Linked DNA regions of Caenorhabditis elegans. The protein of the gene in region 1 purifies or fractionates together with the protein of each later gene. This does not show direct contact. Each region holds a gene or a part of one and is shown on either strand. Other genes may lie near its edges.

The links. Proteins that work in one complex are often made in the same cells at the same time.
Region 2: the proteins of ttr-11 (region 1) and ina-1 purify together in Caenorhabditis elegans (affinity purification with western blotting; one study listed by BioGRID). This does not show direct contact.

Annotation. Positions count from the first base shown.
Region 1 is NC_003283.11:20,600,346-20,606,349, reverse strand, and holds ttr-11 (Transthyretin-like family protein), read right to left. Parts: upstream 3,037-6,004; 5' UTR 2,985-3,036; coding exon 2,976-2,984; intron 2,930-2,975; coding exon 2,797-2,929; intron 2,423-2,796; coding exon 2,343-2,422; intron 2,299-2,342; coding exon of another isoform or gene 2,223-2,298; intron 2,083-2,222; coding exon 1,972-2,082; 3' UTR 1,922-1,971; downstream 1-1,921. Other genes in the region: ttr-57 (TransThyretin-Related family domain), read right to left, coding at 652-721, 768-847, 1,013-1,132; col-163 (Col_cuticle_N domain-containing protein), read right to left, coding at 3,876-4,019, 4,074-4,238, 4,296-5,973.
Region 2 is NC_003281.10:9,165,580-9,175,370, forward strand, and holds ina-1 (Integrin alpha ina-1), read right to left. Parts: upstream 7,224-9,791; 5' UTR 7,159-7,223; coding exon 7,004-7,158; intron 6,805-7,003; coding exon 6,694-6,804; intron 6,627-6,693; coding exon 6,473-6,626; intron 6,364-6,472; coding exon 6,178-6,363; intron 6,056-6,177; coding exon 4,794-6,055; intron 4,680-4,793; coding exon 4,497-4,679; intron 4,354-4,496; coding exon 3,432-4,353; intron 3,377-3,431; coding exon 3,118-3,376; intron 2,970-3,117; coding exon 2,782-2,969; 3' UTR 2,494-2,781; downstream 1-2,493. Other genes in the region: dgk-3 (putative diacylglycerol kinase 3), read left to right, coding at 138-258, 303-383, 429-538, 776-1,450, 1,540-1,695, 1,740-1,946, 1,989-2,083, 2,229-2,329 and 1 more. UniProt on the Caenorhabditis elegans protein: Plays a role in cell migration, axon fasciculation, and morphogenesis. During gonad morphogenesis, involved in distal tip cell (DTC)-mediated guidance of gonad elongation, in maintaining their sharp tapering morphology and in their migration.

The DNA.
Region 1 (6,004 bases):
CGAGGCCAAGTTTATCTGTTGTAGCCGTGGAAACTTCCGTTTCGTGAAGGTTGAACACCTGAAAATTGAAGATTTCACGAGTTTTAAAACAGAAAGCAACCGCAACCGCAACGCAACCGCAACGCAACCGCAACGCAACCGCAACGCAACCGCAACGCAACCGCAACGCAACCGCAACGCAACCGCAACGCAACCGCAACGCAACCGCAACGCAACCGCAACGCAACCGCAACGCAACCGCAACGCAACCGCAACGCAATCGCAACGCAATCGCAACGCAACCGCAACGCAACCGCAACGCAACCGCAACGCAACCGCAACGCAACCGCAACGCAACCGCAACGCAACCGCAACGCAATCGCAACGCAACCGCAACGCAACCGCAACGCAACCGCAACGCAACCGCAACGCAACCGCAACGCAACCGCAACGCAACCGCAACGCAACCGCAACTCAACCGCAACGCAACCGCAACGCAACCGCAACGCAACCGCAACGCAACCGCAACGCAATCGCAACGCAACCGCAACGCAATCGCAACGCAACCGCAACGCAATCGCAACGCAACTAAATGCAAACTTACGTGTTGAGGAAGATGTCCCTCAGTGATAAACTGGTTGGGAAGAAAAACTTTGACGGAGTTACCACAAACTACTCCAAAAATACTGAACGATGGCTCACAATAGTTGACAAAGTACGCGTACAGAATTGGTGACACAATCTGAAATATTTTAGTGTTTCAGAATGAAAATATAGAAAAAAATTACCGTTTCAGAGATTGATCCTTCCAAGGAAAAGTATCCGTTTTTATCAGTCTCTCCATAAGCAACCAAGGTATCCGGCAACGCTGAAAGTTATAGATTTAAGTAGCAGAGGCGCGTCCATGTTCCGTACTCCTACTTTGTAACTATAACAAATGAAAGAACTAGTAGAAATTTTGCGGTTACATATCTAAAGTTTGAAGTTTTTAGAAACCGTGCGTGCCTGTACTCCCACATTGTTATTTTCGTACCATAATTTTTTCCCAAAGTTGCACTTTCTGGCCTGCATATGGTTTTCCATGGCACAAAAGTTGTCCACGAACGTGGGCGGCTCCCGTGTCAGCGGTGGCGAGCTTGATGAGAAGAATCATGAAGCAAATTATCTGAAAACCTTGAAATTTTGAGGAAAAGATCTGAAAAATCCCATATCGCGTTCATACTGCTTTTTCGAGGATTCGAAAAAATTTTGGATAAAATTCGAAATGATTCTTTTTTCAATTTTGAATTTGAATTTGGTTTGTTTTCTTTTAAAAAAAACTCCACGTGAGCCCCTATTTTTTTCAAAAATTTTCAAATCAATACTAAATATTTGAATTCAAATTTCAGTACAGAAACTAGGGTTCAAAATAACGCCGGCAGCGACGGCGCATTTCAAAAAACGTGAGCCGGCATCGGCAAATAAGGCTTGTGCCGCCGCTGCGCCGCCGCCGGCGACATCAGGGTTAAACAGTTGAGCAGGCGGCGGCGCATCTCGAAATAAAATGCGCCGCCGGACGCGCAATAAAAATCCGCTACCGCTGGCAGCGGTGTGTAAAGCTTGCGCCGCTGCCGACGCCGGCGGCGTGTAAAACTTGCGCCGTCGCCGGCGAGCAGCGTTAATAACGTGAATGCAATATAAGATCCGTCGTCAAATTACAAGCTATAATAGAAACGCGTCAGTCCGCCTGTTTTTTGTGAACTAGCGCAATCCGAGCATCCATCATTGTCCACATTCTGATTTTCAGCATTTTCGCTTCCAGGCTCTCGACATGAAGTTGACATCAAAGAAATTGGCCACGAGTTATATGAAAACACAGTGGGGGTGGCACGGACTTTGTAGTTGGCTCAGTTTATAAGTCCGTCCACAAACTGGCACTATTGAAAATTAAATATCATAATACTTCACATACATAACAGATTCATTATTTCAGACTTTTCTAGTTCCATACAATTACCCAGAAGGACGACATTCTTTGTGATTGAAAAACAAGTTAACGACTTGTTCAAGGCCGAGTTTGACAGTGTAAGCCGTTGAAACTTCAGTTTCGTGGAGGTCGAAGGTCTGAAATTCCAGATTAAGATGTTTTGTTTTTTTCGCGTGTGACGCGCGTCATTTTTGTTTCAGCATTTTTTGACTCGCGCGTTTAGGAATATGTCCATCAGCAATATACTCGGCTGGGATATAAACTTTGACGGAGTTACCACACTTTACTCGGAGCCAGTTGAACGATGGCTTACAATAGTTCACAAAATACGCGTACAGAAGTGGTGACATCATCTAGAATATCTCGTTGGTTCAGATTCAAAAAATAGAAACATTACAGTTTCAGTGATAGATCCTTGCAAGTCAAAGTATCCGTCATTATCAGTGACTGCATGAATAAGCATAGTGTCGGCCAACGCTGAAATTCAAAAATTAAAGTAACTCCCAAAGCGTCCATGTTTTGTACTCCCATTTTGTAACTCTTCAAAAAAAAATGCGCCTGTGTCGCGATTAGCATTTCGAAGTATAACTTGTAAAACCGTGACGCAGCAGCTGTGCGTCTATGCTGCGTTTTCCCATTTTGTATCAGACATGAGAATGAATAAAGAGCGTCGAATTTCAAGAACCGCTAAACACCCGCGGCGCGTCTATCTACCGTACTCCCACATTGTAACTACACTCAGAAAACAAAATCGGGTTAAACGAGTTTAGGTTTTGTTGCAAATTGGTTGGAAATCGTGACGCAACTGTAGCGCGTCTCCTCTTTGTACTCCCACTCTGTAACTCTCTCACCAAAGTTTTTCTCCCAAATTTGAATTTTCTCGCGAGCATACGGTCTTCCATTGCACAAAAGTCGTCCACGGATATGTACGGATCCCGTGGAAGCCGCAGCGTAATTGATGAGAAGAACCACGAGAAAAATTGTCTGAAAACCCTGAAGTTCGGAGAAAAATTTCTGAAAAGTCACATACCGCGTTCATTTTCTTTGCAAAGATTCGAAATTTTTGTGGACAAAATTCGAAAGGATTTTTTTTTTGAAATTTGAGTTTTGAATTTCAATTTCAATGCAAAAAAAATTAAAATCCACGTGAGCCAATTATTTCATAAGTTTTCAAATCAAATCATCTTTGCTTTTCTATTTTTCATATGCCATGCTCCTGTCAGATTATAATAGCACCAAAAAAGGCATACTCCGGCGGATACGTATTATGAAATGTAAATGTTCACTACCTCATCCAATTTCTTTGTCAATCACCTGCAGGGTATATTTTTCTCATATTCTCCTTTTCACTCGCAATGTCACATTCTCTTTGAAGGGAGATACATCTAGCCGCCAACACAGCGCCACCCATTCCACAAAGAGGCCCATGTTTACAACCTAATGACACATATAGTACTGGTATAGATTGTCCTTCCTTGTGGGAACCCTTTTTGAATAGATTTACAACTCCCTACAAAAAGACACAAATCAGGCAGGAGGCCTGCGGTGAGCGAGAATTACGAAAATGATAACATATCAAATCCAGAATCTACCAGCTTTTTTTAGCCGCGTTCGGGGTTCCGCGCCGCACTATGTATTTGGTACATGCGACGTGTGTGACGCCGTGAGGCCGGCGCGGCGGCCGCATGGGAACCCTAATCTCAACTATAATTTTTTTCTCGATCTCGGTGAAATTGAAGTGCAACAGCGAAACCCGAGGAAGCCGGTTTCAAAAAGCTTCTCTATAGTTACTTCACTGTCAGTAAGCCATAGATGTTTACTGCAAATTTAGTCTTAAATGTTAACTTATCCCATAAATAATATGAAAATATTTATTATACATTTTCTTTAACACAACATTTATTAGTAACAACAAAATCTTGTCCGGTTCCTATGGAATTGCAACTCTACTCATTTTTGCGGGATGATTCTCGATGAGTCCCAAACTTTCGGCAATATTTTCCAAAATGTTCGAATTCTGTCGCTGCTGGTCTGCAAGACTTTTTGATGGCTTTACACGTACTCGGCGGAGCTTCTAAAAAAGTGAATGTACATTCGGGATTACATGTAGTGCCTTAAATAAAATTACCTTCTCAGTCTTCCCCGGCTTCAGCTTTCTTCTCAGCTTCTTCGGAGATCTTCGGATTTCTCTGAGATTTACCACCTTTTTCTCTGATTCTCGAGCAATTTCCTTTTCAGCCCGGAAGCCTCGTTCCCCTTCATCCATACTCATAGCGAACTTCTCGTTTGTGGTCTGGAAATTTTATTTTAAGTTTTGAAAGAATGGGAAGTCATTACTATGGGATCTTACCGAAAAAACTCTGAATGCCGGATGTCTATACGGAACCCTTTTCACTTTCACCACTCTCCGTCTCTTCGTGGATCCAGATCCACGTGTCTTCTTGACTATTTCAGTGTTGCCGTTTAAAGGAGCAGACTTCTTTTTGCTCTCCCCACTACCACGTGAATGACTTTTAGCTCCGTGAGCCTGTGCTTTAGGCACCGACTGCGACGGTAATTGAGCTCTTGGAGGAGCAAACAAAGCTGGACGAGAATGCCCTGTCCCAGAATCTAAAGGCTCGGGATCCGAAACTGATGTGTCAGAGTTCTCAGATGTGACAGCCTGAGCGATCGCAAATGTGGCTGGAAATTGAGCTTTCGGAGGAACCATAGGTTCATCGATAGTCTCTGAATCCTCAGATTCCGCTGCAAACGTAGATTCGTCAGATTTTTCGGCGGCGGGGCTTTCAAAATTGGAAGCAGGAAGCAACTCTTCCGTTTCTGAAATCGAAACATCACTCGGCGCTACTGCAAACTTTTGAATAGTGCTGTCCTCTTGAGCAAATGTCACCGCTCCTTTTTGATACTTATTCCGAAGTTCATTGAGTGTCGGAAGCCCTGAAGCCAGACCAGAAGCTTTTTGCTGTGTTCGACGAATTTCAGAAGCTTTCAGATCAATCTGGTGTCCCATAGCTTGTGATTGGGCCTCCACTGCCAGGTAAGCCAAGTTCTCCGCGCTTACAATGGATTCTTTCATCAGAGATTCGCAAGTGCATTCTTTCGAATCGACGCCCTTCTGTCCTTGAACTCCAAATTCTCCACGTTTTCCACGAATTCCTGCAGCTCCTGGAGCTCCAGGACTTCCAGGTAACCCAGGTGGGCCAATAGGCCCTGGTGTGTTATTGTTGGTTCCATCCTCTCCAGGTTGTCCTTCTGTTCCATGCTTTCCAGATGGTCCCTTGGGACCTTTAGTATTCAAAAGTACAACACCATCTTGCCCAACATTTCCAGCAACACCACGCGATCCCATGGATCCTTGTTTTCCAGGACTTCCGTAGCCTCCAGGAGCTCCCGGCTGTCCGTTTTTTCCCATTGGACCAAGAATACCAGGAGCCCCACCAAGACCTGGCTTTCCAGTTCCTCCAGGCTGGCCGGGCGTTCCATCTGGCCCTGCTGGGCATGTAACACAGAATGTGGGAAAGTTCGGGGTGATCTCGTCCATTGCGTCGAACCCTGGCAATCCATCGTTCCCGTCAGTTCCTGATTGTCCAGGGGTACCACGAAGACCAGGTGGGCCTGGAGGGCCCATCGGGCAGCGATTCTCGTCGAGTGGGCAGATTGGAAGAGGTCCGAGACGCTCACCCGAGTTCATAAGTGTTGGGTGCTGCTGCGGGGTTGGGCTAGGAGAAGCTGTAGTAGTTGTAGTCGATGTAGGTATAGTTCCAAGAATCACTTGGGCACCGCCTGAAGTATCCGACATAGCTTCTGCATCCTCATACTCTGATTCTTCATCATCATAATCATCAGTAGGCGCGGGAACCTCTCGGGCAAGCTTCCGAAGTTCCGGACTGAACAGTGAAGGTCCTGAAGGTGGTGCCCCACCCGATTGTCCAGCTATTCCTGAGAGTCTAGTTCCGTGCGTTTTTGCTGCAGCAGCATGAGCTGGGTGATCAGCAGGACCAACTGTATCCCCATCCATGTGAATCATGCTGCAACTCAAAGAAGTTTTTAGCTATTACC
Region 2 (9,791 bases), on another chromosome or scaffold:
GCATCTCGCCTAGTCATTTTTACCAATCTCAAACATTTGGTGTTTTAAAGCGTTTCTACTTTTTGCGGGGTCTCCTTGAAAACAGGCATGTGTTCAGGAGATACTATAAACGCTCTAATGGGTTGTTGTAATTTCAGGAAATGAAAGAAGATGGGTCTCATGTTTGGCGTCTTCGTCATTTTACAAAGCCAACTTACTGCAATGCGTGCTGCAGTATTCTAGTTGGATGGGGTGGAAAGCAAGGGCTCAGTTGTTCATGTAAGTTTTTTTTTGATTGTTCATCTAGATCATTAATGTTACAGTATGCAAATACACGGTTCATGAAAGATGTGTCAGATCGGCTGCCACAAATTGCATTCGAACTTATTCAAGTAGACAGCAAGGTACGGTTAAATAAAACAAGCCCTAGGTTAGCAAATGATTTTCAGACAAACTATATCATCACTGGCAAGATGCAAATGCAACCGCTAAATGTGTCAAATGCAAAGCAACAGTCGGAGTTTTTCAAGGGAAAGGGTGTCGGTGGTGTCATAATTATGTAGGTTTTTGATATACGGTTCCTGTAGTTTTGGGAAAATAATTTCCATATATTTTGAACCTCATACTTTGAATTTCTATTTTCCAAAAACGGAAAGAATTCGACTTTTTTGTTCAAATTTACTGATTAATTTTGCACAATTTTATACAGTTTTGCTGAGAATTGAGTATTCAAAAGTTTACATAAAATCTCGTGTTCATGTTTGCTTTACCCCCGGGTACCTATATATTTTTCCAGGTTCATCATAGATGTATGTCTGCACTTGCTCAAGAGTGTGATCTCGGTGCTTTAGTCCACCATATTCTCCCACCAACGCATATATTTCCTGCATTTCTGGAACGTAAAACTTCAACATCGCTGAAAAATCACAACTTCAGCTCCCACAGTGCCAGTCTCCTTCAGGCCGTATCTCCTAGCAATGATTGTCGTCCTCTCCTAGTTCTTGTCAATCCGAAAAGTGGTGGGAAACAAGGAGTCAAGATTCTACAGAAATTTGAATATCTTCTCAATCCAAGACAGGTCTATGATTTGAGTAAAACTGGCCCTGAACCAGGACTTCAATTATTTTCCACTTTGAAAAACTGTAACATTTTGGTATGTGGAGGTGATGGAACAATTGGATGGGTATTGGAATCAATGGATAAAATGACATTTCCACATGGAAGACCACCCGTCGCAGTTTTACCATTGGGAACTGGAAATGATTTGGCAAGATGTCTTCGATGGGGTGGTGGATATGAAAATGAGAATTTGCATAAAATATTGGAACAAATTGAAAAATCAAGTCTAATTGATATGGATCGATGGCAGATTAAAATAGAAATAACAGAGAATAAAAGTGCAAGAAGAGCAAGTGAAAAAGGAGATACACCACCATACAGTATCATTAATAATTATTTTTCTATTGGAGTGGTGAGTTATTTTAAATATTTTATTGAAAAACTAAATAATCTTACCAAAAACCTAAATTTGAACATAAAAAAATACAAAAAAAATTTCAGGACGCCTCAATTGCTCACCGATTCCATGTGATGAGAGAAAAGTTTCCTGAAAAGTTCAATAGCCGGATGCGAAACAAGTTGTGGTACTTTGAGTTAGGTACAAGTGAGACCCTATCAAGTTCTTGCAAGAACTTACACGAGCAAATTGATATTTTGGTAAGTTCTTAAAAATATTATAGTAAAATACTTCCAATTTTCAGTGCGATGGAGAATCAATCGATCTTGGACAAGATGCATCACTTGAAGGAATTGCTCTTTTGAATATTCCATCAATTTACGGAGGATCTAATTTATGGGGAAGGAGTCGAAAATCTAAAGGAAGAATGCCTGGGCTGTTCCCAATGAAAAATGCCGAGAAAATGCAATTACAGACAAGAGTTCAAGATATTGGAGATGGTCTCATTGAGGTTTAAGATGAAATCCTTCCAAAAACAAACCAAAAGTTTCAGTTAGTTGGATTGGAGTCAGCAATGCAAATGGGACAGATTAAAGCGGGTGTACGTGGAGCAAGACGGCTTTCTCAATGTTCAACTGTTGTGATTCAGTTAGTTTTTAAATGGAATTAATGTGGGAATATAACTAGGACATCGTTGAATTTGAAAAAAAAAATCAATTTTTGAGTAATTCTGATACTTTCAAATGGTTTTCTGTAATGCCGTTACTTTAACAAAAATTTTGTTCATTTCCAGAACACACAAATCATTTCCCATGCAAATTGACGGGGAACCATGGATGCAACCTCCTTGCATCATTCAAATCACACACAAAAACCAAGCAAAAATGCTTGTTGGTGAGTTTCGTCATATCCTCGAGTTGTCGATTAATTTCTTTTTATTCACAGCTGCAGCTCCACGAAAACGAAGCTCCTGGATGCTTCTCAAACGACAGTCCACAAATGACGATAACTGATTTTTTAAAAAATTTCATTTATATACACAATTTCTATAATTTGAATGAGGGAATTGAAAATAATTTATTAATAATTATAGCACTTTTTGTTTGACAAAAAACATGAAAATGGCACCGGTGAAATATTTGTCAAGATGGTTTCAATAAACTTGACTACAAGATTTGAAAAATGTCATACATTTAAATATTTAAAAAAAACTTAAATGTTTAAAGTGAAGTTGGGAGGAAAATCATTGAGGGAACAAAACAGGAAAATGGTATCACATAAATGGAAACAAACAAAGTGAATAAAACATCACAGAGATCCAGTCGAAAAAAGAAATAAAGAGGCATCTAAAGTCCCGTATCAGCCCATTCTTCTCGTTCATGTTTGAGTTGAGCAGTGTATAATGATGGCTGATCCAAACGATTTCGTTTGAAGAAACCACATTTTGAAAGACAAATTATAATTAGTGACAAAATGAGAACACCAATAACAGCTGCAATGACGTATATCCACCACGGGATAGGTCGAGAGTCTCCTGAAAAAATTAAGGTAAAGTTGGGGGTTTGAGCATGTCTTTTAAAGCTAGAATATCCTCAACAATGATTTTTTATGAATACATTCGTACTAGTATATCACTTTAAAATGATTAGATATTAAAGTTGGTCTCATTTCAAAAAACCCACCAATTGTAGGCCTATCAGGATCAGCAGATGTTTCAACGAAAGCTGCATTGTTATTCGGATCGTCATCAATTCCTTGTGATTCGTCTAATTGAAGTTTTCCGAACGATCGGATCTTCACACTTTCAACATCTGAATAATCCTCAATGAACGTTGCATTCCAGAGTCTTGCACGTAAATCAATGACTACTGCAGAATTGGCATCGATGAAATCGAAGTGGCAAATGACGGTGAAACAATTGGCAGTGTTGTCTTGGCAGCTCTGAAATATTCATTTATCAAAAATCAATCAAATAAACTGTAATCTAGGGACTTACCAAATGTTTAACTTCTCTAGGTCGTCCATCACCTCCTTTAATTGCAAAAAGATTCCAGAAATTAGCTGTTGAGAACCAAGGAATATTCTCTTCCACGGCTCCTAGATCATCTGATTGTTCTTCCTCATCCTCATCAATTTCTCTTTTCATTCTATGCTCTACCCGATGTGGAGCAGTCTCTTGAGTACTATATTTAGTGTTCAATTTAATTTCTGCAGGATTCACATATTCGTACTGTTGTTTGATGAAACACTTTCTAACTTCACTTGTTCCATCTGTGAATTCTGTTGTAATAGTCGGTACATCCAATAGATAGAGAGCATTCTTTCCTCTTCCAAACCTAGAACGGAGTTGATAAGGCCAAGAAATGTGTGCTTCCACATTTCGAACAGTCCATGGACCATGATTAATAATTGTATAGTTATGTCTAACCATTGTTCCAATATCTTCTTCCAATTCCAATTCAGACTCTGCTCTTGCTTTTCCTCCAAAGAATACTCTATCAGGGTCACTGATTCCATAGATCTCCAGCTCTGCCTTCTTGATAATCTGAACTTCAGCTTCCCATTTATTATCTTTCAACTCTTCCTCGGTTTCTTGTGACGTGGAATTGACATGTGCCATGAATTTGAGTGCCTTTCCAATTCCTTCAGTTCTTCCACGAGTCAATTTGAATTGGATCGTAAATTGATGTTTTGATGCTCCATTCATTGGATTTCCAAGTGGCAAATGCACAATATTCTTTCCAATTGTTTCAGCAATCATTCTCTTGGAACCTTGAACTTGTGGAAGTTCAAGCTCTTCTTCATTATATTCTAGATAAAAATTCGCTTGATAAGCCTTTTCTTTCTTGTTTTCCACAGTGAATGTCAAGTCCAGATAATCCTTTTCGCCGACATTTGAAACGTATCCATTTGATGTTCTGAAAGCAAAAAACATACGTGGGGTTGACTTTTGATTTGGAATTTTAAAAAAGAAGTTTGATTACTATATTCTAAAAAACTTTCGGTGTAAATACAGTGCTGTCTCACAAGTTCTGAGCGCTAAAATATCTTAAAGTCTTACAGTGGAATATCCTTGAAGGCGGCTTTCAATGACAAATCAGTCTGACAAGTGTGATCTTCTCCGCAAAGCGTATTGAATGGAACATCAAACTCATATGATGCACCATATTTGTTGAGGACTGGGTAGTGCTTCAAGTCGACCAATTGGCTTCCTTGTGGTGGTTGCACAGGCTTCTTTTCGTTTCTGAAATGTGAGAATTTGAGTTCTGATTATGATATCATGGTTTTTGAGTTTTGAGTCTAACAATACAATTTAGGAAACAACTTTTTCAAGGGATTTCGAGACAACTTGACCTACCGAATGCTGACAGTAAATCTAAACTTCAAAGGTGTAATCCAATCTTTTGATTCTTGAACTGGCAAATAGATTAGCTGCCGGTAAGTTCGTTTCTGTACGTGACTATTACTTCCACATGGCCAACTATAATTGTGTGAATGACTTCCTTCAATGAATCCTCTTGCCGTTGTGTCAGCTCTAAATGGAATAGCTTCCAGATTACACATAAATACATCAGATGAGAAATCGACAAGTTCGGCGCCTCTCTTTGTTTCCTCATCCACATAGATCACCATATCAAGCGGGAAACAAGTCTTTGCTCCACGTGGACAATTGACACCTTTGTCGATATCAACCATTCTCTTCTCCATTTTGTGCTTGGTCTCAATACTTATTACTGGTCTAGAACGAAGCAATGCAACAAAATTCTTCGAAGGAGATCCAATGAGAAGATCGGGATATCCATTCTCATCCATATCAGAACCTCCAGAAAGTGAGAATCCAAATGATCTCATTCCACCTGGCGGAAGATTTGGAAGATCATTTCCTTTTATCACTTGAGCCGGTTTCTTTCGGAACTTTTCAATGTTTTTAGTTCCAAGATAAATATAAACTGCTCCAGCTCCATCAAATGCAAATGGAGCACCAACTGCAAAGTCGTTGAGTTTACTTTTATCTCCGTCTACATTTCCCAATTTAGTAATTGAAAGTCCAAATTGTGAGTAGAAATCTGGATTCTTTAGAATCTTTGGTGGGTGGAAGACTAGATGAGATTCATGTTGTTTTCTCTGAACTCCTTGAGAAAAGTAAACATAGACGATTCCTCCAAAGTTTCCATCAATTCCAGATCGATGTTCAAATGGTGCTCCAACAATTAGATCATCAAATCCATCTCCATTCAAGTCAACAACTTCAATCGAATACCCAAATGCAGATCCCATTGCAGTTCCATTAATAATAAATTTGTCTTCATTCAGAGTAAGTTTTGAACTTGAATCTTGAATAAACGGGAGGAATATTACAGCTCCATGTTCTCCGTATCTTGTAGCTCCTGAGACTACGGTTATCGGTTTTCCATCTTCATACCAAAAACCGAATCTTCCAATATCTACAGAATATCCAAGATAATCATGTGCAACTAATCGTGTACGAATCATATCTCCATTTGGTTGATTCATTGTGTATTTTTCAACGACTGAATCGAAAATGTTTGCTGACGATTTCTTTGCAAAAACACCACCAGTCCATTTTACAGCTCCAATGAGTCCGGTCACGATGGTATCCTAAAATTTTAGCAATATTTAAAAAATGCTTTCGACTCAAAAATATTCATCAAAATATCTTTTTAAAATTAACACAAAACTAAACTTCAGTGATTTCATTCTATTTGTTGAATGAAAATTACCTGAGTAATTGCTGCTGAAAATCCTTCCATACATCCTCCATACTCGTTGTGACGATCTGTTGTTGGAAGATTCTTTTGAGCACAAGTTGCGTATGTTGATTGAAGACGAAGGTTCGATTCAAGTTCATAGCAAGCTCCTTGTGGATATGCAGCAGTTTGATGGTAACGTATTAATGGAGCACACACCTATAAATACTTGATTCAGAAAGCATAAAGAGTACTGTGAGTACGCAAGGAGCACCAGAGGCCAAAATCCCAAGGTTTTAAACACAGAAAATTAAAGTTTTTTACTCACCAAAGCACTACCATTCTTTGTTCCTTTCGAAACAATCGTTGAGGCCAACAACTGATCATTCTTTCCCAATGGATGCACCGTTCTGCCACGTGTTTCGTTGGGTCGTTTCGCATAATCCTCAACGTTTTCATACTCAAATCGCACCTGTTCACACCTGAATTCATTCTCATCAATCATCAGTCGTTCCCTCATATCTCTCATTCTTTCAAATGTGTACTCACCAGTGATTTGATCCACCATTATAAAATGTGTTAATATCACACGCGTACATTGCACCCGCTCGTTCGGTACCCGTTTGCCCAGACTCGCCACGTGGAGCTCCGATCAGCATTCTGAAATTTGAAAGAACGCGTTAATCGCTGTTTTCATCAAAAACTAAAACTATCACGCTTGGGCAAAACTTTAGCAGGAAGCCTGAGACTAGGCCTAATCATAAGGCTAAACCTAAATTTAAGCCTTAACATAAGCTGAGTAACTTTTGCTCAAGCTTTACTGTTTTTTGTGATGAAATTAAAAAAAAAATCTACTTACACAGGCTTATCCCCTTTGAAATGTTCAGCAACGGAATATCCAAAGTTGGTCCCACTGGGACCATACCTGTAGATCGGAGCATTCACATCGAGATTAAACGATTTGACACAGCTGAGACATAGGAGTAGTGTCCAGCTAATTATACATTCACGCATGTTTCGGCGGGTGAGCTTTCTCTCGTTCTGTTAGTTGTTGCTCATGTACGTTCGAGGAATAATGACTGAAAATTTGGGAATTAGAAAGTTGAATTTTGAAATGGACAAAATCAAGAAGACAGCTGAAAGAGGGAAAGTTCAAAATCCAGATTTTTTTAGAGAAAAATTTTCCAAAAAATCGTAAAACATGAAAGCAAATGGAGCAAAAGCCGAAAAGAAGAATCTGAAAAATATTACACACCAGAGGTGTTTTCATTTTCAGATCAACGGGAAAAAACTTATATTAATTGTTTTTGCGGGGGTTTATATAATGATGAATCACACGGTGTGACTCATATCAACTGAATTGATAGAATTGAAATCAAGAAGGTCGAAATGAAATTGGAGACGCAGGTGGTGTGCATCTGTCAGAAAGTGCAGAGCCATCTTCTCAAAAATTCATAAGATGCACTTTTAGAACTTTTTGGTAAAGAAAGTCCGCCTTGTTGACCCCGTAACTGTTGGTCAATCGTGAAATTGGGAACTAGAAGGATGAAAGACCTTGATATGATATGGAAAAAATGTAACGATCACAGACGACACGGCGAGGGGAACACATTAAATTGATGGGCATGATAGAGAATTATATTGAAAGAGAGGAATAGACTATGAGACAAAATGCCAACACATGTACATTTTTAGTATATTATCAATTGATTGTTCAGATCAGTAAATTTTTCATGAATTTTTTTGGAAACTGCACTTGCATTACTGGAAACTGTGTAGAATTATTTTAATGCACAATGAACAAACACCACAGTAAAAAATTCTAAAAAATAATTTTGCAATTTCTATAGTCAAAAAGTTTTTGGAACTCAACAGAAAAAAGATTTTGTCTATAAATTTTCATTTTACTCATGTTTAAATTATCTGTAATTGAAAATTGCAGTGCTGCAAATCTGGAAAAAAGAATTAGTTTATTAAAAATTTGGAATACTTCCAAAATTTTTACTGATAAATTTGAAATAAAAATTACAAATACAGAAGAAGAGGCTAGTTGTAAATAAATTCGTGGTTTTCGGTTTGTAGAAAGTATGCTTAATCCTAGGTGAAATGATGTATGAACTAATCAGAAATTTCGCTATTGAGTTTCAGATTTTTTTTTCTAATTCTGAACAATTCCGAAAAAAAGGAAAACTTTCCCAGCTAACCAATGAATAAGTTTCCGGCCACTTCAAATTAGATGCTTTTCATCAAAAGACCGCTCTGAGAATTTTTGATACGCGATCCCCTGGAGAGATATGGTGCTAGAAACGGCAAAAAAGTGAAAATGGAGCCCGCTGCTCACTCTCAATTCATCAGATATGTGAACACTCTTTCTCCTCTTTTGCAAAAAAGATTCAGAGCACAACGCGAAGGCATTCAATTGGGTGCGAAGAATGGAAGCAAAACGTGTGCCTCTCTTGCGTTTTCTGCTCTTTTTAGTATACAAGTGACGGACGGGAAGAGCAAAAGAAGAGAAGAAGCGGAGAAGAAGAGCACGATGAATGTTTCAATTAACTCATCCAGACAAAACCTCCGATTCGCCAGACAAAACAGAAATTCCGAGACTATAAAGCAGTACTGCGGTTCTCAATTTATGGGAGTGGGGAGTCTAGATATATATGGAGCGTTGTGTCTTAAGCTCGAATATCGTTCGAAGAACAAGTATTTGTTGGAGAAAAACGTCTTAAAACTATTTGAGAGTACAGAAAGTTACCACGATTCAGAATGGAAAATTTCGATATTTTATTTCAAAATTTCTATTTTAAACCTCACCGGTTTGAAAGATTTTCTTCAAAAAAGTACTATCTGGATAATAGAAAACAAGGTGAAATTTGTTAAATTTTCAAAATATAGGTAGATTTGAAAATTGCTGGAAATGACAGGAAATTAGAGATTGCCAGTAGTTTCTATCATAAATTTCTTGAAACGTTGAAAAAATAATTCTACGCAACCTTCACAGTCTTGATAGTCAAGCTAGCTTTCAAATCCATTATAATTCCGTCACAGTATACAATTGTTATATAATATATCGCTTGCATAATCTCCAACATTATACAAAAGATGAAAAAAAGGTGACGCATACAGAAATAAGAAACAATGAAAAACCAAAACATGCATACATATGAATCTATATCCAACACATATAGAGGACATTCATACAACCTTGAAATGTCAGTATCCATTGCGGTATTCAAGTGGATATGACAGACAAAGTCACCAAAAGAATTTTTGAGAATTTTTCCGAAAAAATTTGAATGAAAATTCAAAATATGAGGACTATTCCAAATTGAGTTTAGATTTTGATTTGAACTGCGACCGAAAAATTCCAAAAAAAAGATGGAACACAAACTGAGTAAAAAGCTGAGAAAAAGGAAAGAAGGAATGGAATTGCGTAAAAAGAAATTGCAAAAGCCCCCCGTCTAAAATCTGCATATGAAAATTGGAAGAAGTGTGACGGGTGAAACAGAGAGAACCGACAACTGCCCATAAATTACCAAAAAAAATTCATAGAACCTTTTTTATTTTTGATTAGAGAAAAGATGGAGAGTTTTCTTTTTTTTTAATTTCTGAAAATTTCAAAACATTCCAAAAATTTGAATGTTTCAAAC